Mus musculus: one gene and its partners. The protein of the gene in region 6 interacts with the protein of the main gene of each other region in a biochemical or structural test. Links are inferred from orthologs where the notes say so. Each region holds a gene or a part of one and is shown on either strand. Other genes may lie near its edges. The genes, in order: Ikbkb, Nod2, Usp4, Tab1, Trim31 and Map3k7.

Region 1 (3,515 bases), on a different chromosome or scaffold from region 6:
AAATGCTCAGTTTGACACAGCAGCTCAAGCCAGTATTGGATAAGGGAGTGGAAGATGGTAGCGCCAAGTTCCGGCCACAGCCAGAAACACAGAGCCCTGGGGTGAGTCTCCTACCCGCCCACACTGCTCCACAGCCTGCTCCATCTCCCGCCAAGCCAGCAGCAATTTATCTGAGGCTGGAAGAAAAAACAGAAAGAAGAAAAAAAAATGAAAACCAGAAACATCATAAAACTCAAACAGAAGTTAAAAACTGAACCATAAGAGGACAAAGAAGGGGGTGGGGAGAAAAAAAAGAGAGAGAAGGCAAAGAAACTTCAGAAAGAAAGAGACCGGAGAGAAGCGGCTTCCGGCTCACAGCAGGCAGAGCGCACTCACTGATCCCAAACTCGGTCTGCTCTTTATACTTCTCCAGGTCGATCTGGATGCTGGTTTTGAAGAAGTCCAGCTTGGCCTTGAGCTGCTGGGCCGTGGAGGCCATGGCGTTCTTCATCTTAGAGAGGCAGCTGTTATTCCGGAGGAGACTCATCCTGCAAGGACGGGAAGACACAGGAATGGAGCCTTGGGACACATTCGGCATCTGAGTACACTTCCTGTGTAGTAACAAAACGCTTTGCCAAGGGAGCCTCGGCTCGTCGCTTGTAGCCACCGCTGTGACCAAAGCAGCTTCCTAGAAACCCATGACGGTCTCTATCAATGTTGGAACTAGGTGAAACTCTACACCTAGGCTTTCGTCCTAATTGGAGAATCCGTCGGCAAGCTCCAGTTAACCACCATTGTTAACCCAAGGCTCACTGAGCTTCTCCAAGCTCCACGTGCCACGCAGCTGAGCCTCCCAGACCCAAGTTCTGCACTCCTGCCCCATTCTCTAAGCCCTGGCCTTAGCCAGCCCGAGGGCCTCCCTCCAGCCAGGCCACCCAACCACACCCTGTCGTCCAAACCAGAGCCCCTAAGAGTTGCTTCTGGATCCCTGCCTCAGCCACCTCTCAGGCCAACAAGCAATTTAAAACGTATTAGGTAAAGCCAGCCTGGCGCAGTACATGGCTGCTCGCTGTCCCTGCTGCAGCCGGTTACAGTCTTCCTTCAGCGTCTGGATGCTGTGCCAGACTTGGCCCCACACTTTCCTCAGCTGGAAGAAGGAGAGGTTCCGCTTGGGCTCCTGAACTGGAAACAAACAGTTGTCAGAGGGGAACGCAGCTGCAGGGAACCACATCCCGCCCTACAGCATTGCCGCGATTTTTACAAGTTATATAACTGCTATACTGCTACATCATTTTACAGGTGTTGTTGTTTGTTATTAGTTTAAACAACTCGGTGCTCCATTAGCAGAAGGGATGGCCAACGGAAAGCTCCCACGTGATTTGATGGTGATGCATGCGCACCTGTAATCCCAGCACTCGGGTGGCTGAGCCAGGAGGTCTGCTGTTCAAAGTCAGCCTGTGCTGGGGACAACGTGGAGAAAGAACCACAAGCACACGCGCCATAGATTGTCAACAGACGCTCTCACTGTCAGCACAGTTAAAGTTGTATATAGTGAGAATTCGGGGTTTTTTTTGTTTTTGTTTTTGTTGTTTTTTTTTTAAATACAGAAACATAAGAATGTTTTTGTTTTAATCCCAGGTGTGGGATGCCAGGCTGCTTCCGACTGTCCACAGCAGCTGACTATGATTTGCCTCATGATCTAGCAGGGGTGTGACTTCTGCCAGCTGCACATAGTTTTGTTTTGTTTTGAGTGTGTGAGATTTGGAATTAGGGGGACTTTTCAGAGGATATATATAAATGCTAAAGCCCCAATTGGGGGAGGAGGGAAGCTGTTGGCTGATTGGCTGGTTGGTGGTTGGTGGTTGGTTGAGGTTTGTCAAGTTGTCATGTGCAAAAAGACAAAAAGAAGAAATTAAACATCCTGTCAGGGAAGATCAAACTTGTCCCAAGGAAATCGACACTGCTAACCACCAGGAAGTAGTCTAACAATGGCATTGCCCTCTGTCCTTCTCTCCTTTTTTCTTTCCTACTCAGTGTCAGGGCTTTGGAAGGGTAGAAGAGGGCAGGAAAAGGGTCGAAGAAAGGAGAACCCATGATGTAGCCAGAAGCCCAGTACCAGTTGTATGGAGTTTTCCTGAAATATGAAAGTATATGGGATGGCTCAGTGGGTGAGACCAGAGTTCCGTCCTTGGGACTATGTGGATGAAAGTGGGAGGAGAGAACTTATTCCAAAGTTGTCCTCTGACCTCTATATGTGCACACCTCTAGTGTGTCACATACGGCCCTCAACGGTGACAAATAAGTTAATTAAGCAAGTACTTTAACATGAAGCCTGAAACCAGAAATACTAGAGATATTTAAATCATCAAGAAGCCTGGGAGATCTCGGAGACATTAGCTCTTTGGTCTGTTTACTCCAAGTATGTATCTGAGAGAAAGGGGGCTGAGAACGGGGCTAGGTTAGTAAGATGTTCACCAAACAAACATGCAGTGGAGCACCATGCAGCCCTCCAACATGAGGGAGAGGAAATGAGCGACTTGGGTGAGGAGGGACACACAGAACAGTGCATGTCTGTGTCATCGTGGTCTCTTTGAGGGGGATACCCAAGCACTTGGAAGCAGTAGTTCTACAGAAGGCAAGCCTCCTGGCTGGGGACTAGAGCCCGAGTGTTCACTTTGCCTTATGTATTCTTTTTTGGGTATCTTTTGAGGCTTTGTGTTGTTTTTGTATCATGTACCTATGTTAATGTCATTCTTGTTTATAAGCAGAGCCTCATGTAGCCCAGGCTGGTCTCGAACATCCTATGTGGCTGAGCTCCTGACCCCTCTTGCTTTTACCCTCCAATGCACATTAGTTATTGAAATATAAATGCAACCTCAAAAATGAACCACAGAAGTAGGTGGTATTTCTTAACCCTGTGCCTACCTCTAGTGAGAGGCAGTTAACCAGTACTTTGCCTGGACTATTCTCTGCACATTCCAAGTAAAGGAGGCTTTATATACTCAGAACCAAACAACCAGGAGCTCCTCCAACTTTACCCTAAATATCGCAACTGATGGGTTTTAATAAATGATGCACTTACGGATACAGCTGACACTTTCCGGTTGGGGTCGGGGGGTGATCTGAGTCTCATAGTTGATTTTACTGTTGTCAAAGAGAAAAACAAGATCCATGTCCAACGTGAGGCCCTCGTTTGTCTGCAGAGGGACAAGAAAACAATGAGACCTGGGGATCCCACCCTTCCTTTCCGGCTACTTGGTCTTAAAGCAGTTCCACTTGCACGTGGAGGGCAGCATCGTAGCCTAAGAAGCACGCGTGACTCAGCCTGCTTTCTCTCCTACCCTTTTTATCTGAACCTGCCCCTGCCTTACATCATGTTCTAGTTTACTCTGCTTGCTTCTCCTGTGACCTGAACACATCACACTTCCCTGTGCAGAGGCTGTAGCCTCCATAACTACTCCACACCTTGGGGCAGACACCATGTCACACATCGATGGCCTTAGCACAGGTGCCTGACTAGAAGAGCAAAACATGAT
Region 2 (3,984 bases), on a different chromosome or scaffold from region 6:
TTAAAGCTGGAAATTCCCATCTTGCCAGTCTCCTGCAGACACAAGGCAAGACATATCCCCAAAGACCAATTCTGCCAGCCCTCTGCCTCTAAGAAGGCCAACTCCCTATCTCATCCCAAAGAGCTGGAAAAGAAGACCTGGGCTTGAAGCTGTCCTCCTGACAGGCTGAAGAAGTTCTTTATTAGTTAGTCCCAGAATCTCGTTCTTGTACCTTCCTCCCTTGTCAGACTTGCTCTCCCCAGGCTAAACACACTGCTTTGTCATCCTTGCCTTCTCTACCAGGCTAGTGCCACATTGGAGTCACTCTTAGGCTCTGCAAGGTGCAACCCAAACAAAGGGGGTCACTTCCTTTCTGAAACAGAGGGTCAAGGGTATCAACAAAGGCCCATGTCTGTTTCTTGGCACTTCCTTCCTATCCAGGATCATAGGTAGCCTGGTGTTCCTGAAGTTCCTAGCTGAGGACTTTGTTCAAGGGCTGAAATCCCTTTGCAGTGCCCCCAGGCCTCCAGCAGACGGGAGAGAAAGGAAGGCAGCAAGAGGAGAGCAGAATGCAGCCCTGAGCTGTCCTAGTCCTGACTGGCTAAGATCTCCCTGGAGCACTAACTAACTCCTCTCCTGCCCCATGTCTGAGTTGCTCCCCAGGAAACCAGTTCCCATCAGAGAACAAACAGATCAATTCATCCTTCATTTCTGCCCTCCCTTGTCTGGACCTGAACTGCCATTCCCAAATCCACCCCATCTCCTTCATCCCCTCCCACACCCACTACCAGAGAGAATACAAACCATGATTTCCACTTGTTCTGTTCTCTGCCTTTCTTTCTGTCACCTTCCTCCCTGGAGCACTTCTCTGGAAGTCATGAAGGGTTTCACTGATATTCTTCCCTGCTTCCCAGCTGCTCTTTCTATCCATTCTGCCTCCAAGGCTGATTCCTAGTCCCCCACCCCACCCCCAAGTACAAATCACTGATGCGTCTCTGCCCACAGGCCCAATTCCCAACTGTGAGATAACGATGACTGAAATGTTACTGGACACTATTCAACATCATGTGGTACCTACCAACATCTCCAAAAGACAAATACAAAATCAATCACCGGCTCTCCCTCCTATCAGCTCCCCTCGCAGACGAAGGCAGCCCCGAACTCTCAGAGTCATGCTTGACGCTGCCTCTCTCCAGCATCACAGACTATCCATCCAACCTCCAACAGACTCCAAATCTGAAAGCCACAGGTTCTCTCTATGCCATGATGTAAGCTCTATAGCCTCCCTTCATGTTTCCCTCATCTGCCATGAACCTCCATAGGCAGTCTCAGCCTCACAACTTGATGAACCCTGCCAAACCTTAAGTCAGAGCAGGAGCCTTATCTGTTCATGGCTCCCATCAGAGTCAAAGCGAAAGCCAAAAGCTTTTATGGCGAACTCAAGCCCAATACAAGAGACCTCAGATGCCACCCCTTTCCTCCTTGCCACCCACCATCCACCCCCAGCCCTCCAATTCATCCCTCCATTTACACCCTGCTCTGGTCTGTCATGCTTCTATAAGCTCCTCCCTCCCTACCTACACACACACACACACACACACACACACACACAGTGGGGGCTTTCTCTAGCTCCCCCTAGATAGTCACATGACTTGCCAATCCCCTCCTTAAGACTTTGCTCAGTGGTGACTCTCTCAGAGGTGCCTTCCTATGCTATGCAAAACTGTAGCCCCTAAGCCCTGTCCCAGCTTTTTCTCCCCACAGTACTTCCTATCCTCTGAGATGGCATGTGTTAGCATGATGTATTCACCATATCCCTGTGCATCACCCAGTGTACAGATGGGGTCTGCATGGGCTGAGGATGTGTTTGTTCCACACAGCGTGGGGGCGGGGGTGGCTGTGGAACCAGAGAGTTGCAAGGCACAGACTTTGGCCAAACAGCTATAGAAGCCACTTTGTTAGCAGTAAGCGTCTGCTCACTGGGCCACCCTACAATGCTGACCTGGGTGGGAGAGAGGGGACAAGATGGAGCCAGTGCCAGCTTGGAGCTGCATGTGGAGGCCAACTGGCATTAAGTGGCCAAGAAACTGGGAGCCCCAAAGGCCTCACAACAGACTGAGCAGACCAGAGCCAATGGGGCTGACTCTTTGGTCTTCAGGAGGGCAGAGATGAGGGAGGGGGCATTTCCCCTGCAGGGTATCAACCGTGGGTGAGATTACATACAGAAAAGCCAATGTCCCTGCCCCAGGCCAGGACCCTGCAGGTTCTGAAAAAGACACAGAAGTTAGAGAGAAGGGGGTGGGGGGAACTGAACCAGGAATAGTTCCTGCTAAGACCCAAAGCAGGGTTTTCTCCCTCTGGGTAAGGACCTCACCTGCAAGTTTCCCCTCCGTTGTCCCAGCCACCTCCAAATCACAGCCTCGCCTCAGACTTCAAAGGATCCTGGGGGCTTCAATTTGGTCCCAATACCCTATTCCTTCTCAGTTACCAAAGCCTGCCGTGGCTCCCCTCGAGACATCCCTTTCCTTTTACAGCCTATCTACTCCGTCGATGCTTCCAGGAGAAACAGAGTCCCTTTCAGGAGCTCAGCCAGGCCAGCTCCAGAGCCAGTTAACAGCGTCCCCGCGATGGGACTTGTGACGGTCGTGATCTCCACAAAACCAAGCGCTGTTGCCCGGGAGTCCTCGGTCTCCCCGCGAGAAAACCCTCCTTTCCACATATCCACCCACCCCGATCACCCGCAGACCACAGAACCAGAAAGCAAGCACTCACCGCCAGCTGCAGCGTGGGGATCCCTCGCCAGTTTTGCGGTGACTCCACACTAGGACTCCCTCAGTGATCTACTCCCGCCCATCGCCCCACCCACCTAGCCAGAGACCCCGCCCACTCTGGCAGGCTGGGAAGGGCGGCCACACCCCTCCTGATTTCCCTCTAGGGACTGGTGAGACAGGTATCCGGGAACAGGCCTGCCTGCAGTGCTTTGTGTTCTGCCCTTGGGGACCGGTTTCAATCACAAGGGAACCAGAGTCCTGGGAACAAGAGCTAGGAAAGCCCTCAGTGTCAGTAGGAGCCGATGCACCCTCTCAGGGATTTGTAAGCCCTTAGTCAGCTACAGTCTTAATGGAGGCATTCCCAGAAGGCCGTGCTGGGTGGTGTTAGGGCATTTAAAGTTCCTCTTTTCCCCTTGGTTGTCAGTCCCATGCAAGCTGAGGAAAGAGGTCTAAGTGTAATAGCACTTGCCTCCAACGTAGCCTCCTAGGCTGGGCTCTGCCACCATCCTAATCGGAATTCGCCAGCGTTGTTTAGTTCCCATTCTTAATGTTACTTCTAAAAAGACTTGTACATGAACTCTCATTTGAGAGAGAAAGGGAGAGGAGAGAATAATTGACCCAGACATGAAATTGTGTATAAACCACTTCCAAGGTATGGTTGAGGTTCCGAAGATTTGTATTGTAGATATGAGGAAGGGTACAGCCGGAGGCATCTGGAAGAGTCCAGAGCAGGGAAAATAGCAGCTTGAACATGGTCAGCGGGGACATGACCATGAGAGGAAGAGAAAGAGACAACCAATGTGGGGTGGGGAGAGGGAGAAGAGAGAGAGAGAGAGAGAGAGAGAGAGAGAGAGAGCCAAGAGAGAGCACAGCCAAATGGCAGGGTTTTATGGGAATGAGAAGTTGGGGGAGGGAAGCCCACAAGCTGGAGAAGCTTAGAGTTGGGATGTAGGGTAAGAACTATGGAGAGCTACAGGTTATGAGGGAGCCTGGAGGCCACCACAGGCTTTGGTGCTTTGGTATGCTAATAGATACTCCCTTTAGCCTTCTGTCTGGGGAGTTCCTTCTGAAACTGACACTTAGTATTGTGCTGGCCTCTGCTCTCAGTAAGTCTCTTAACCCCACCTGTAGGGCACTCCTCTTGTCCCAGGCTTACGGATGAAGAAACTGAAGCACAAAAAAATTCACTAGCCTGTCAACACCGTGATGTGTCCCAGGCCTCAGGCACCAAAGA
Region 3 (3,515 bases), on a different chromosome or scaffold from region 6:
GATTCCTTTCTAGTAAGAAAAGCTAGTAGCTGAGAGACAAGGCAGTGATCTCATGTGTTCTGTCCACCAAAGGCACAAAGCTGTGTGTCTCAGTGTGAGAACTTGAGAAGTTCTCCTATGCATATAAACACCTACGTTTTTACTACTCAGCAGTACAATCAGACTCATGAGCACAGGGGAAATGGCTTTAGAAAAGTTGTTAGAGGGCTGGAGAGATGGCTCAGTGGTTAAGAGCACTGACTTCTTCCAGAGGTCCTGAATTCAAATCCCAGCAACCACATGGTGGCTCACAACCATCCATAATGAGATCTGCCGCCCTCTTCTGGAGTGCCTGAAGACAACAACAGTGTACTTTAATAAATAAATAAATCTAAAAAGAAAGAAAGAAAGAAAGAAAGAAAGAAAGAAAGAAAGAAAGAAAAGAAAAGAAAAGAAAAGAAAAGAAAAGAAAAGAAAAGAAAAGAAAAGAAAAAGAAAAAGAAAAAGAGAAGTTGTTAGGTAAGCATGGTGGCTCACACTAGTTATCTCAACATCCAGGAGCCTCAATGAAAAGGCTCAAAATGGTCAAAGTTCTAGGCCTACTTGAGCTATAAGTGAGTTCAAATTTGGCCTGGTTAACTCAGTACAACACCATCTCAAAGAAAAAAAAAAGAGGGCTGGATATAGCTCAGTGCTAGGACACTCAGTGAGTCATGTATTCTATTCGGCCCTAGGTTCACTCCCAGTCCTGGGGAAAAGGAAGCGGTGCAAGGTGCAATGCATTCGATTATGTCCACACAGCCCAACTGAAGAGCTGGGTTCCAAGTACTATGGGCATTCCAAACCAGCAGGCAGCTCTTGTATTTGGAGGCCACTTAGGAACATCCTGAGTTACTCACAAATACTTCATATCCCAGAGAGAAGTAGAATAGTCATTCAGGCCAAAATTCCAGCATACAAGAGGCAGGAGATGACCAGAACAAGACCAGCCCGGGATACACAGAGATCCTGTCTCAGGAAACATAAACAAGGTCTAAAGCCTGGTACATCTTTAATCTCAGTACTTAGGGATCTCTGAGTTTGAGGCTGGTTTGGGCTACATAGAAAGTTCCAGAACTACTTACTAGTAAGGGATACTCAGAAAAACCCTGTTTCAAAAACAAAAACAAACCAAAATCCAAAAACATTACAAAGTCTCACCTGCTTCATTTTCAACCATGTAACCGTTTTCATCCTCCCGGGAAATAAAGAGAAGTCAGTGTACCCAAGGAGAACTCACATACACACCTAGCAGGTCTAACAACTTGTCAACTCACTTTTCTGACAATAGGCTGCTGGCCCTCCACACAGCCATACCAATTCAGCAATTTATTCCAGGCTTCGGCTGGGACCAGCACATAGTCCAGCTCATCGATTAAGTGCTCCTTCAAGGTCTGACTCTCAGGATCTGAAAAAGGAAATCAGGGCAGATCTCATTTTTCTTTTCCCCAGAAGTTTCTTTTTGTTTGGTTGCTTGTTTTTTGAAACAAGATTCTTATGTATTTTTCATAAGAAAAGATTCAACAGGAACAAGCACAATATTCCAAAACACTGTCACTGGCTACAAAACAAAGCAGACCTGCCCACTCTTTATCCTGAGTCTTGTTCTATGAGGAACTTGTATCTCTTCTATAATGAGAGAAAAGTGAGCTGGAGTCCGTGGTTCATCCTCATAGTCTCCACTACGCAGGAAGCTGAGGAGGAATAGGTTAAGCCCCGAAGTTCAAGGTCAGCTTGGGCAACACAGCTAGACTCCATGTCAAAAAGAACAAGGAGGAAGGATGGAGAGGAAAGGAGCCTCTCTGTTCATTTTCTTCTTCTGAAGTCAAATGTATTGAAGGTGAACATGGTGGTGCACCCTTTAATCTGAGGACTTGGGAGGCAGTGGTAGGTGGATTTTTGTGAATTTAGAGTCAGCCTGGTCTATGTAGGAGCTCCAGGACAGCCAAGGATATATAGGGGTAAAAAGTAATTCTAAAATAAAATTTATTGAGCTATATTTTAGCCATATTTTTTGCCTTTCCCCAAGCCCTCCCAAATCCCCTGCCCTACTTGCCCCCTTCTCATTTTTGTCGTCTGTTTTGAGGGTCACATGCAGTACAGCGTGACCTTGAATTCTACACAGCCAAAGATGACCTTTAATTTCTGATCTTCCTGCCTCCACTGCAGAGATGACAGGAAGGAGACTGGAGGGAAAATGAGCCGGGGAGATGGCTCAGCAGGTAAAGGTACTTGCTGCCAAATCCATGAACTTGAGTTCAATAAGAATAGGTTTTTGTTTGGCTTTGTTTTTCAAGACAGGGTTTCTCTGTGTAGCCCTGGCTGTCCTGAAGAAGAGAGTACAATGGCTAATAATTATAAATACTTATAATAGCAATCCTATTGATAGTGCTTGAACTCAGACCCCATCTACACATGAAACATTTACTAAGAAGGCAAATGAATGAGGTGCTGAGGGCTGGGAGGGGGGTGAGGGGTGGGGGTGGGTAGGGTATTTTCTTCCCAAGCAACCATGCCCACAGCCCTCAGTTCAATTCCCAGCAACCTCATGGTGGCTCACAACCATCTGTAATGGGATTTGATTCCCTCTTCTGGTGTGTCTGAAGACAGCTTCAGTGTACTCATATACATAAAACAAATAACCTTTAAAAAAAAAAAAGAGTTCTCATGGACACTGTGTGGAATGGAAAGTAAATATGTAACATGTTGAACATGCATTTTACACCCATCACAAAGGTATATGAAACACTCAGCGGAAAATCCAACAAGATTCATCACCTGTCAGCCACAAAGTGTACTCCCTGCTAAGCCTGTTTATCAACACCCACACTGAGGATGACAGAAGTCACTGATCTCAGACCAGTGTAGACAAGAAAGTACCCGTGAAGGTGCAACTCAGCTGTAACCCAAGGCAGATGATTTTTTTTTTTTTTTAAATAGAAACCAGGTGTGATAGCACACACACTTGATTCCTGCACTCAGAAGGTAGAGGCTGGTGCATCCCTGTCGAGTTCCAGACCAGCCAGGTCTATATTGTAACATCTTGTCTCAAGAAGAAAAAGCCGGGCATGGTGGCGCACGCCTTTAATCCCAGAACTCGGGAGGCAGAGGCAGGCGGATTTCTGAGTTGGCGGCCAGCCTGGTCTACAGAGTGAGTTCCAGGACAGCCAGAGCTACACAGAGAAACCCCGTCTCGAAAAACCAAAAAAAAAAAAGAAAAAAAAAGGAGAAGATGACAGGCATGGTGGTAGTATACATCTGTTAACCCTGTGCCTAGCAGACGGGACAGGAGGACCAGGTGCTGCTAGGGTGTCAGCTACAGAAGGAGTTTGAGGACTGGGAACAAGGAGGTTGGAGGTGACTCTCCTGAAGCGCTGTCTCTGACTGTCTCTGGTCTGAAGTCAGTACAGAGATGCTTGATGTAGACCTACAGTCTGACCTACTTCACGTGTACCCGGCCTAGCCTACGTCAGGCTTCAAAGCAAAACCTAAAAAAC
Region 4 (2,546 bases), on a different chromosome or scaffold from region 6:
CCTCTGCCCAGCAGAGGGGAGGATGTGGGGGACCCAGTGACCATAGAGGACAGAGCCCAGCTTTGTTCCTAAGCAGACAGCTTTTCAGCCTGTAGGCAGGCGATCCAGAGATGGATGAGTAAAGGCCTTAGATGAGAAAGAGGAGGTATGTTAAAGAGATCTTTCAACCAAATAAAACCAACCAGCTTGGGGGGGGGGGGCGAGGCAGGGGAGGGGCAAGGGCCCTGACCTGTGACCTAAGCCTCATGAAGTTACCACCCCACCCCATCCCTGGACTCACTCTCTGGAGAACAGAATACCACTGCCTTCTTTAGCTCAGACAGCAGGCTTGTGGCAAAACACATGTTCAGTGGGTGAGGGCAGTGATGTGTGCAGCTAGGAGGTCTGAGTTCAAATCCCAGCACTGCCACTTACCAGTCCGGAAAGCCTGGCTCCCAAACCTCCTGAGCAGAACAGGAGGCAGCCACCTTTTGGGTGCTTAAGTTACAGATAGACAAGATGACATCTTTACTGCATGAAGAACATGGTTCTATTTCTAGAGACCAAACAGCACCACATTCCTTGGGGAGGACCTCCTTTGTCCCATGTCCTTGTGCACCAGCTGAGAGCTGCTCACCTGCAGGGCACCTGCAGGGCAGAGGTGACTTCCTAGTGGAGAGCAGGAAGGCTTCTTCTTCCCATCACCCCAGGGCTTCTCCTCAGCATGGAGCCAGCAGCCTCGCTTTAGGGAAATGGAGTCTGAGAAGTGCTCTGAATTGGCCTTTGCCACCAGGCCACACTGGGCACCCTGCCCAGTAGCTGCACACAGTGGGGAAAGGGCTGCAGATTTAATCCTGATGGAAGGGCTCAGGTAAGAGGAGCACCCAGCCTTTCTCCTCTGAGCACAGGGGTGGCCACACTGCAGGCAGCTGTGGTAACCCTCCTGTCTGAAGGGAGAGATTCTGTGTGAACAGGTCCCAGTCAGGGCCTGACCAGCAGAGTCTTTTCCCTGCACGTCCGCATCACTGCACCTGATGTCCTTGGTCTTCTGGGTGAGCAAGACTCAACCTCGGCCCTCTCACAGCCGTATCCCACTCCTCTTTCGGCAGAGCCCGGAACCAAGCAGCCTCCTCATCAGCGTGAGGTCTGTTGCCTCAGCACCCCCTATCACTGGCTTCCCAGGACCCGCTGGGAGGAAGGCACTGGCTTCTGACTTGGCCTGCCTCACCCCAGGGCAGGATCTAGCAGAAGCAGAACTGCAGCTGCCTGGTGGGCCTGGCCTACTAACTGCACCCCATTGGGAAGCCAGCTCTCTGAGTTAGCTCAGCTGCCAGCTGGCTGACCTGCAGCCCAGGACTAGCATTCCTTGGCCAGCTCTCTCTGGTACTTCCTTGTCTTGCTCCTCTGTGGCTGTTAATAACCCCTCTGCTTCCCTGGACTTTTCCAGTGACATCCAGTGACAGGCACCCACTCCTGTTATTCGCTACTCTGGATCTAGGAGTTTGGGCTGAAAGGTGGAAAGGGGATAGCCACCCAGAGGTAACGGGCACTCGCAGAGGCCACAGCTCTTCCGGGGGAAGCTGAAGCAGGTGGAGGAGTCTTGAGGGAGCAGTGTCTGTCTGGCCTTTGGTAGCTGGGGTCCACAGGACGGCATCTTGCTAGTCTTTAAACGTGTCAGGAGGCACTCGTGATGGTTTGTAAGCTACCTGCAGCTTTCCCGCTTGGCCCTGTCTTAGGATGCCTGTGGTCTGGACTCCAGCCTCCTGTGTGGACCAGCAGCAATGCAGTCTGTACTCAGGCCACAGCCCAGGGCTGTGGTTGAACCTGCAGCACGTCATGACTCACTGCCCGAGGGTTCCATGGCCCCCGCAAAGGTCAGGAAGCTTGTCTTGCTTTGGCACTGGCCCTCTGTGTCTACACAAAGTTGTGCCCAGGCTGCACTCTGAGGCTAGACTAAGGTGCCGTCATCACGCTCTGCTCGCCGTGGTCCACGCTCCAGAGTCGGTAGAACTCAGCAAAGTCCACATAGGGCTCCACACGGCCATCCTCTCCGGGTGGAAGTGAGTGAGCCGGTCTGGAGCGGAAGAGGCCCCCGTCAGAGCTGGAGCTGCTGCTCTGGGTGTGCGTGTTGGTGGACTGCAGGGTCAGAGTGGGGCTCTGGCTACAGAAGAAGAGAGAGCAGTCAGTCTGGGGGAGCTGCATCAGGGGCCCTCAACTTCCCACCGGTGAAAAGAGCGGCCCTTTAGGCTCAGGCCTCTCTCTCTCTCCCCAGTATCCTACAGAAGTCAGCTGGGTGAGATGTTTTTAAAGACAGGCTGACCTAGGTGACAGAATAAGACTCAGCGCCAGGGGAGGAGATCTGTGAGGCTCGGGCAGTCAGGCTGAGAAGCGTGAAGCTTGCCTGCTTGGCTTTGTGGACACAGCTGCTGGTTTCCTGGGGAAGCCTGGTGGGGAGGGAGGGCTATGCTGATTGTGCTGGGGACAGCACACGGCTACCCAGGATGCCCAGATGTCTACCAGGCCCTTCCATCCACAGAGGTGGTGGCAGGAACAGCAGCAGCACAGAC
Region 5 (3,515 bases), on a different chromosome or scaffold from region 6:
TAAATTTAAAAACCAAAGCATTGCAAATACACTTTCAGTTAAATGCCACTTTACTGGTTTAGTAGAACTAATTACATTTTACCTCCACAATTGGTACTTTGGCATCTAAATTGAAATGTACAAAAGACAAACTAGCATTCAAAGACTTAGAACCAAAAAACCACTCAAGAATATGAAATAGCTCATTAATATGTTTAAGCAGGCTGAAATGATTATATTTGAAATACTGGGTTAAATAAAATGTTTAGAATGTTTTTATTACATGTACTTTTATCTGATTTTTCTTTTGAAACAGAGTAGCTCTACTTGGCCTGGAATTCCACATGTAGACCAGGCTGACTTTGAACTCACAGAGAACTGCCTATCTCTGGCTCCCAAGTTCTGGCATTAAAGATGTGCCACTATGCATGAGTCTTTTCCCTTCCCTTTTAATGTAGCTACTAGAAATACAGATGGAAATATATTTTTATTGTATTTTGTATTTTAAGATTTATTATTTTTTAAGAATAATTATTTTTAAATATTTTATTTTTTTAATCTTTAAATTGTGTTTATATGTGTGTCTATGTGTGGGTTTGTGTGTGTGAGTGCAGGCCAGAGATATCTGGACCTGCTGGAGCTGGAGTTACAGGTGGAGGTCAGAGGAAACCTTGGGAGGTTTGGCCCTGTTCCTCCACCCTGTGGGTCTTGGGTATGGAACTTGGGTCCTCAGGTTTGATGGTTTGTCCCTTTGCACAATGAGACATTTCTCTGGCCTTGAGGTATACTTCTAAGTAACAAATGTGTCCTAGGTTATAGTTCTACACTGTGAGCTGGGTGTAATGGCACATGTTGAAATCTCAGCTCGTGATTAGGGAGTAGGAAGATTCGATGATGTCATCCATGGTTACATAACAATAACCCATTCCAGGCCACCCGGGTTGCAGGGGATCCTGTCTCAAAAACAAGAAAAAGTTCTACATTTTGTGTGACTCTCTTTCTTTTTCTTCTTTCTTTCATGTGTGTGTGTGTGTGGGGGGGGTGGTGGTGGTGGGGGGTGGTGGTAGGGATGGTGGTGGTGTGTGTGTGTCCAGGCTAGCCTTAAACTCTAGTGCTCTGGGAAGTCCTCCCAATTCTGATTTGCTAGAATTACAGGTATGAGATATTATCTTAGTTAGGGTTTCCATTGCTGTAAAGAGACACCATGACCACGGCAACTTTTATAAAGAACAACATTTAATTGGGGCTGACTTGCAGGTTGAGAGGTTCCATCCATTATCATCAAGGCAGGAGTATGGCAGTATCCAGGCAAGCCTGGCAAGGGAGGAGCTGAGAGTTCTACATCTTGATCTGAAGGCTACTAGGAGAAGACTGACTAAGGCAGCTAGGAGGATGGTCTCAAAGCCCATACCTACAGTGACACACCTACTCCAACAAAGCCACACCTTCTAGTAGCACCATTCCCTGGTCCAAACATATTCAAACCTCCACAGATAACATGCCCAGCTCTTTGAGACAGTCTAGATCTTTGCTCATGCTAGCTTTGGACTAGCAACAATCTTCTTACCTCCGCACCCTGAGTTATAGGTGGGGCTTTGGTTCTCAACCTTCCTAATGCTGTAACCCTTTAATACAGTTCTCATGTTATGGTGACTCCCACCCCATACCATAAATTATTTTCATTGCTAGTTCATAACTGTAGATTTGCTACTGTTATGAATTGTAAAATAAATATTTGATATTTCTGATGGTCTTTTGTGACTCCTGTTAAAGGGTTGTTCAACCCCCAAAAGGGGTCATGACCCACAGGTTGAGGACCTCTGGGTTAGGTGAAGAAGAACAGCAGTTGGTGGATTATTTCAGGAAAGTATGTGATTAAAAAAAAAAAAAAAAAAGCTGGGGGTGGTGGCGCACGCCTTTAATCCCAGCACTCGGGAGGCAGAGGCAGGCGGATTTCTGAGTTCGAGGCCAGCTTGGTCTACAAAGTGAGTTCCAGGACAGCCAGAGCGATAAAGAGAAACCCTGTCTCGAAAAAACCAAAAAAAAAAAAAAAAAACCCAAACAGACTTTAAAAATGAGGCTTAAGGGGCTGGAGAGATGGCTCAGAGGTTAAGAGCACTGACTGCTCTTGCAGAGGTCCTGAGTTCAGTTCCCAGCAACCACATCATGGCTCACAACTGATGCCCTCTTTGGATGTGTCTGAAGACAACTACAGTATACTTGTATTCATAATAAATAAATAAATAAATTCTTTCTTTTTTTGTTAAATGAGACTTATTAGGAGAAAGGGCCTTGGGTGGAAGAGCTATAGAAAGAAATACCACAATATGTCAGAGACAACAGAATGGAGCCTTATGGGGAAGGAGAGGCTACTCTCTGAAACCTGGTGAGGAGCTTTATCAAATGTGATACCTTAAAGTAAGAAAGATAAGGGTCATGGTTGGGATGATGGCACTGAAGGGAGTGTCAGGGAAATTTCTCTAAAGGAAAGTATCTGACTATTATATCAATTCAGGAAGCCCATAGGCTTTTTCAAAATTTAGATTTATGTAACAAAAGGCATTGAGCAGCCAGGTATTTGGAGCTGTTAGACCATAATGTAACTCAGATTCTTAACTGTCTTTTAGAAAACTGGTGTGTGTGTGTGTGTGTGTGTGTGTGAGAGAGAGAGAGAGAGAGAGAGAGAGAGAGAGAGAGAGAGAGAGAGAGAGAGAGAAATAGAGAGGGAGAGAAATAGAGAAATAGAGAGAGGAGAGAATCTATTTATTCACATAGGACTCACCTTTAGTAGCTCCATGGATGATGATTGCAGCCTTATTTTCAAGGATTTAGTGAGCTTCCTTAGAGAGTTCAGCTGCTTCTCTGTCACAGTGACATATTGTCTCAACTGCTTGGCTCCCTGCTGCTCCAGCCAGTCCAGCCTGGACAGGAGGAAACTCTCTTCCTCATCTAGTCTCTGGCGCAGGAGCTTGAATTCCTCATGGATCTTTAGTTTCTCTAGATCCACCTGGGCCTGGGGACGAAGGAGAGGATGCAGATATGAGATGACCATGAGAAGGGTCCTCCAAGCCTCCTTTAAATTCATAATTCCCATCCTTCTTTTTCTTTCTAGGCAGAGTCTCACTATAAAGCCCTAGATAGCCCAGAACTCGTTAAGTACAACAGGATAGCCCTGATTTCCACCTGCCTTTGCCTCCTAAGTGCTGGAATTAAGGGCGTGCACCACCACCTGGCACCACTCATGCTTTAAGAGTATTTAAAGATTACACTGAGACCAATTCAGAAGAGCTTCTGGGCATACCTGTTGGAAAGGGGAAGCAAAGTATTTACAGATTTAGGCCAGATGGCATGCTTTCATTTGCCTTAAGGCCACCAGCCAGATGTGCTGGTGCACAAGTAGGCAATCTCAGCACTTCAGGAGGTTAAGACCAGGCTCAACTACTTGAGCCACCATCTCCACAAAAGACAGACAATATGACCATTGAAAACCCAGGGTAAGGGTGGAGTTCAGTTGATGGAGTGGTTGCTTGGCATGG
Region 6 (3,515 bases):
AATGTTTACTCAAGATAAAGGAGCACTATAAGTTGGTGTGGCCAAGGCTAATAGGTACCTGAGATGACAACACCAACATACTGTCTTGTTAGGGCTTGAAGCAAACGAAATGCAGAAAATATTTTCAGAAATAAAGCTACAGTGGAACAGATGAAAACAGCCTTATAAATCATATAAACGGACACACTTGCCACTGTTTCCTGTAGGAGATGGAGAGGGACTTACTGGATTCAGGCAGGCTCCATACAACTTGACAATGTTAGGATGGTTCACACGTGACAACTGCCGGAGCTGCAACAAATTATGGGTCCTTAAGAAGTGCTGGGTTTTCAGGTGCTATGTACCCGTGCTGTTCAAATCTTATATAGAACATTTGTTCAAATCATACCAGGTATGTTCTGTTACCACGATGGCCACAGGCAGTGGCAATCCCCAGTGCCTGTAGAATCCCTATCCTACAGTTCAAGTGGGGACACAGACATAATCAAATATATGAAGACAGAGAGATCATTAAACCATGCACAAAGTGCTGTAATGGGAGTTAAGAACAAGCCAGGATAAACTGAGGAAACCAGCTGCCAAAAGTCAAGGCACCATCTCAGTTATGGTACTGACTGAGCCACCCACACCAGAAGTGTGGTACTTTCCTACAGGTATCAATTTACTTATTCTGTATGTATTCCTGCTGCGTTCAGACTCTGAAAGATAGGACCTATTACTTCCATTTTAATATGACCCTTGAGGTTAAGCTCCAGAGAGGATAAAGCAGCTGTGAAAGATTCTATAGTCAGATTTGAGCTTCTGTTTACCTGACATGAAATACATGCTCTGTCTGAATAGTTAGTTGCCTCTAATTTCATTTCCTGTCTTGTAGTTACTGCAGAGAGCTTGGTGTGTGTGTGTGTGTGTGTGTGTGTGTGTGTGTGCGTGTGCGTGTGAGTGGAAGGGGGGGGCATTCAGTTGTGGAGCATTTGACTAGTACGCCTTAGGCTTTAGCTCCAGTCCACCATATATCCCAAGTCAATCCCCAGTACAAAAAAGTGGAGAGGAGCTTCAGGGGTAGGAGAGACAGACTGACACTCCAACTTCCGGTCTCAGCCTTCCCCAAGCCAGGAATTACACTGAGGCTGGTCCCCAGTGTAAGGTATCAAGTTTCTGCACTGTGTCTTTCTCATACAACATCATGTTGCTCCTTCTCTCTCCCTCGTCCCCCTCTTTCCCCTGCTCTCTCCTGCTTTTCTCCACAGTCCCATAACTTAACCTCTTTTTTATCATATGCCACTGGACAGTTTTCTTTATAGTTGATATTCATGGACTTTTCATCCTTAGAAAATTAGCGGACTCTTTTCTAAAATGTTATTTCATGTAACTTTTTACTATTATGTATTTATTATCTATCAACATTCCATCTTGACAAAACTCATCATTAACTTCACATAGCACATTATTCAAGCATGTTTTTCCGTTTTCTCTGAGTCTCATAAGTAGGTGAGGTTTTGTTGTTGTTTGTGAGGTAGAAACTCAGGAGGATGAAGAGACTGCAATGAGATAATAGTATACCATCTGGAAGTTGACAAGCTAGTGATGAGTAATAACTGGCCCAGCAGACCTAGAACCAAGCAATGAAAACAAGAGCAGCAACATGGTTAATTTCATAAAACCCATTATGTAGAAGAAACTCAAAACGAATAAAGCTGATGTTATAAAGGGCTTACTAACAGATTTTTCTAGGAGACAGCAACCACACAGACTAAACTTTAAGGCATTGCTGCCTCCAAAATGCCCCAAAGCTAAGTAGTCTGCTAACCAGACAGAAGGTGATGAGCTAAACTACTTTGTTATCATGTAAATGTCTGCTCACCAGGATTCACTGGCCACCCCCAAAGAACTTGCCTCTAACTGGCTGCGTAAGGGGCAGCTCAAGGTCACAGCTAAAGTTAAGTCCTGGGCTGCATAAAGCCCCCTGTTCTCTTCTTGACAAAAACATAATTCTGCCAGATGGGCAAGAAGACCCTAGATAACAACCATTTGAAAAGAAAAAACCCTGGTTATAATAATAATTCTGGCACTATGCAAATCTCTCATCTGTGTAAGTGGCCAGACTTACAGTCTCCTGACTTATATTTTTTAAAGTGTAACCCGGGGCCAGGACCTAGAAGAGATTTAAGGATGACAGAATCTGTGGAATGCATAAGCCTAAAGTGAATTAAGTTAGTAAATCTTTTATTTGAGGTTGGTCCCTCTTTGGGTGCTAGCCACAGTTGGCCACACTTTCAGTCAAGAGCTTTTTCTTATAAGTCTAAGTGTGTGGAGTAGTTTCTCACTAGAAAGGTGTTTATTTCTATAACATTCTAAGAAATTCTTAACTTTAGGTATTGGGAGGAATAATACCACTTTAAAATTAAGATAGGAAACCTTGAGATACATTTGGAACCCGTGGATAAGTGCACTTGAATTCATGGAGCGACTCTTGTAACTATACTTTCCCCTAATAACTTTTAACCAGAATTTAAAGCAAAAAAATGAAAAACATTCCTATGGAGGCACTACTTTCAGTTCAGTCAACTGCTAACGTCCATGTACACAGAAAAAAGAAAGGTGGGAAACACTGTGTTTTATAGTCTTAAGATCAGAGTAGCTCTGGTGAAGAATTAGTGGATACAAATAACGTCTCAGCTTACCTCCACAATGAAAGCCTTCCTCTCAGACTCACTTTCTATCTGTTTAATAGCGACATCTTTTGCTCTCCACTTAGCTTTGCAAACTACTCCAAAAGCTCCTCTTCCGACAACCTGAGTTAACAAACAAACAAATAGAAAACCCCCAAAAATCAGAAGCAGAGTTTAATATGATAGAGGCAGTTTTTAAGTCTCATCAAAGGTTTAGAAACCACCATTATCTGAATTTGCTAAGAATGAGTTTTTCATTAAAGTGAAGATAAAATGCAGTTTTAATCTTTGAAATGAACCTCTTAATTCTAAAGCAGAAACACAAAAAATACATGAAGACATAAGGCAATTTTTAATCACAGTAGAAAATTAAAGTAAAGATGATTGAGAAGTGGTTCAGAAAAATAAAAATGAAAAAGAACATATACTATTTAAAGAAAATAAAATCAGCTTTCAAATAACTCTAATTGGGGGTAAGAAATGGAAGGAAAAGGGCTAAAGATATATATAAAAGGCCCACTATGAAGGACACGCAAAATGTGTTACTGTCTACACAATGACCCCCACCCCAATACCTCATATTACAATGCCCATTTATAAAATGCCCAGGAGAAATCTAGGGACAGCAAGCAGGTCAGTGATTGCCTTGGGATAAGGATCAAAAAGGAATTAATGTAAACGGTATCCTGCCAAGGTGGTGATGTGTTTGAAAGTTGACTGTGATGGCTGACAACTGGGTAAATTCACAAAAATCAATAAATCACACTTCACATGGGTAAGCTTTATGATAGGTAATTAGCTTATTACTTTTAAAAAGTTATAAAAATACAGACCAACCATATGCCA

What was found.
Region 1: of the proteins of Map3k7 (region 6) and Ikbkb, one has a biochemical effect on the other in vitro, tested with the Homo sapiens proteins (5 studies listed by BioGRID). The link is inferred for Mus musculus from reciprocal best matches to the Homo sapiens genes MAP3K7 and IKBKB.
Region 2: the proteins of Map3k7 (region 6) and Nod2 form a complex in vitro, tested with the Homo sapiens proteins (2 studies listed by BioGRID). The link is inferred for Mus musculus from reciprocal best matches to the Homo sapiens genes MAP3K7 and NOD2.
Region 3: of the proteins of Map3k7 (region 6) and Usp4, one has a biochemical effect on the other in vitro, tested with the Homo sapiens proteins (2 studies listed by BioGRID). The link is inferred for Mus musculus from reciprocal best matches to the Homo sapiens genes MAP3K7 and USP4.
Region 4: of the proteins of Map3k7 (region 6) and Tab1, one has a biochemical effect on the other in vitro, tested with the Homo sapiens proteins (4 studies listed by BioGRID and IntAct). The link is inferred for Mus musculus from reciprocal best matches to the Homo sapiens genes MAP3K7 and TAB1.
Region 5: the proteins of Map3k7 (region 6) and Trim31 form a complex in vitro, tested with the Homo sapiens proteins (2 studies listed by BioGRID, with this or other methods). The link is inferred for Mus musculus from reciprocal best matches to the Homo sapiens genes MAP3K7 and TRIM31.

What each region holds. Positions count from the first base shown.
Region 1 is NC_000074.6:22,668,570-22,672,084, forward strand, and holds part of Ikbkb (inhibitor of nuclear factor kappa-B kinase subunit beta), read right to left. Parts: intron 3,177-3,515; coding exon 3,062-3,176; intron 1,162-3,061; coding exon 1,038-1,161; intron 528-1,037; coding exon 376-527; intron 177-375; coding exon 115-176; intron 1-114.
Region 2 is NC_000074.6:88,646,177-88,650,160, reverse strand, and holds the start of Nod2 (nucleotide-binding oligomerization domain-containing protein 2), read right to left. Parts: upstream 2,815-3,984; 5' UTR 2,752-2,814; intron 1-2,751. UniProt on the Homo sapiens protein: Pattern recognition receptor (PRR) that detects bacterial peptidoglycan fragments and other danger signals and plays an important role in gastrointestinal immunity.
Region 3 is NC_000075.6:108,354,322-108,357,836, reverse strand, and holds part of Usp4 (ubiquitin carboxyl-terminal hydrolase 4), read right to left. Parts: intron 1,427-3,515; coding exon 1,296-1,426; intron 1-1,295.
Region 4 is NC_000081.6:80,159,668-80,162,213, reverse strand, and holds the end of Tab1 (TGF-beta-activated kinase 1 and MAP3K7-binding protein 1), read right to left. Parts: intron 2,141-2,546; coding exon 1,933-2,140; 3' UTR 507-1,932; downstream 1-506. UniProt on the Homo sapiens protein: Key adapter protein that plays an essential role in JNK and NF-kappa-B activation and proinflammatory cytokines production in response to stimulation with TLRs and cytokines.
Region 5 is NC_000083.6:36,901,126-36,904,640, reverse strand, and holds part of Trim31 (E3 ubiquitin-protein ligase TRIM31), read right to left. Parts: intron 2,993-3,515; coding exon 2,762-2,992; intron 1-2,761.
Region 6 is NC_000070.6:31,974,100-31,977,614, reverse strand, and holds part of Map3k7 (mitogen-activated protein kinase kinase kinase 7), read right to left. Parts: intron 2,793-3,515; coding exon 2,682-2,792; intron 292-2,681; coding exon 226-291; intron 1-225. UniProt on the Homo sapiens protein: Serine/threonine kinase which acts as an essential component of the MAP kinase signal transduction pathway. Plays an important role in the cascades of cellular responses evoked by changes in the environment.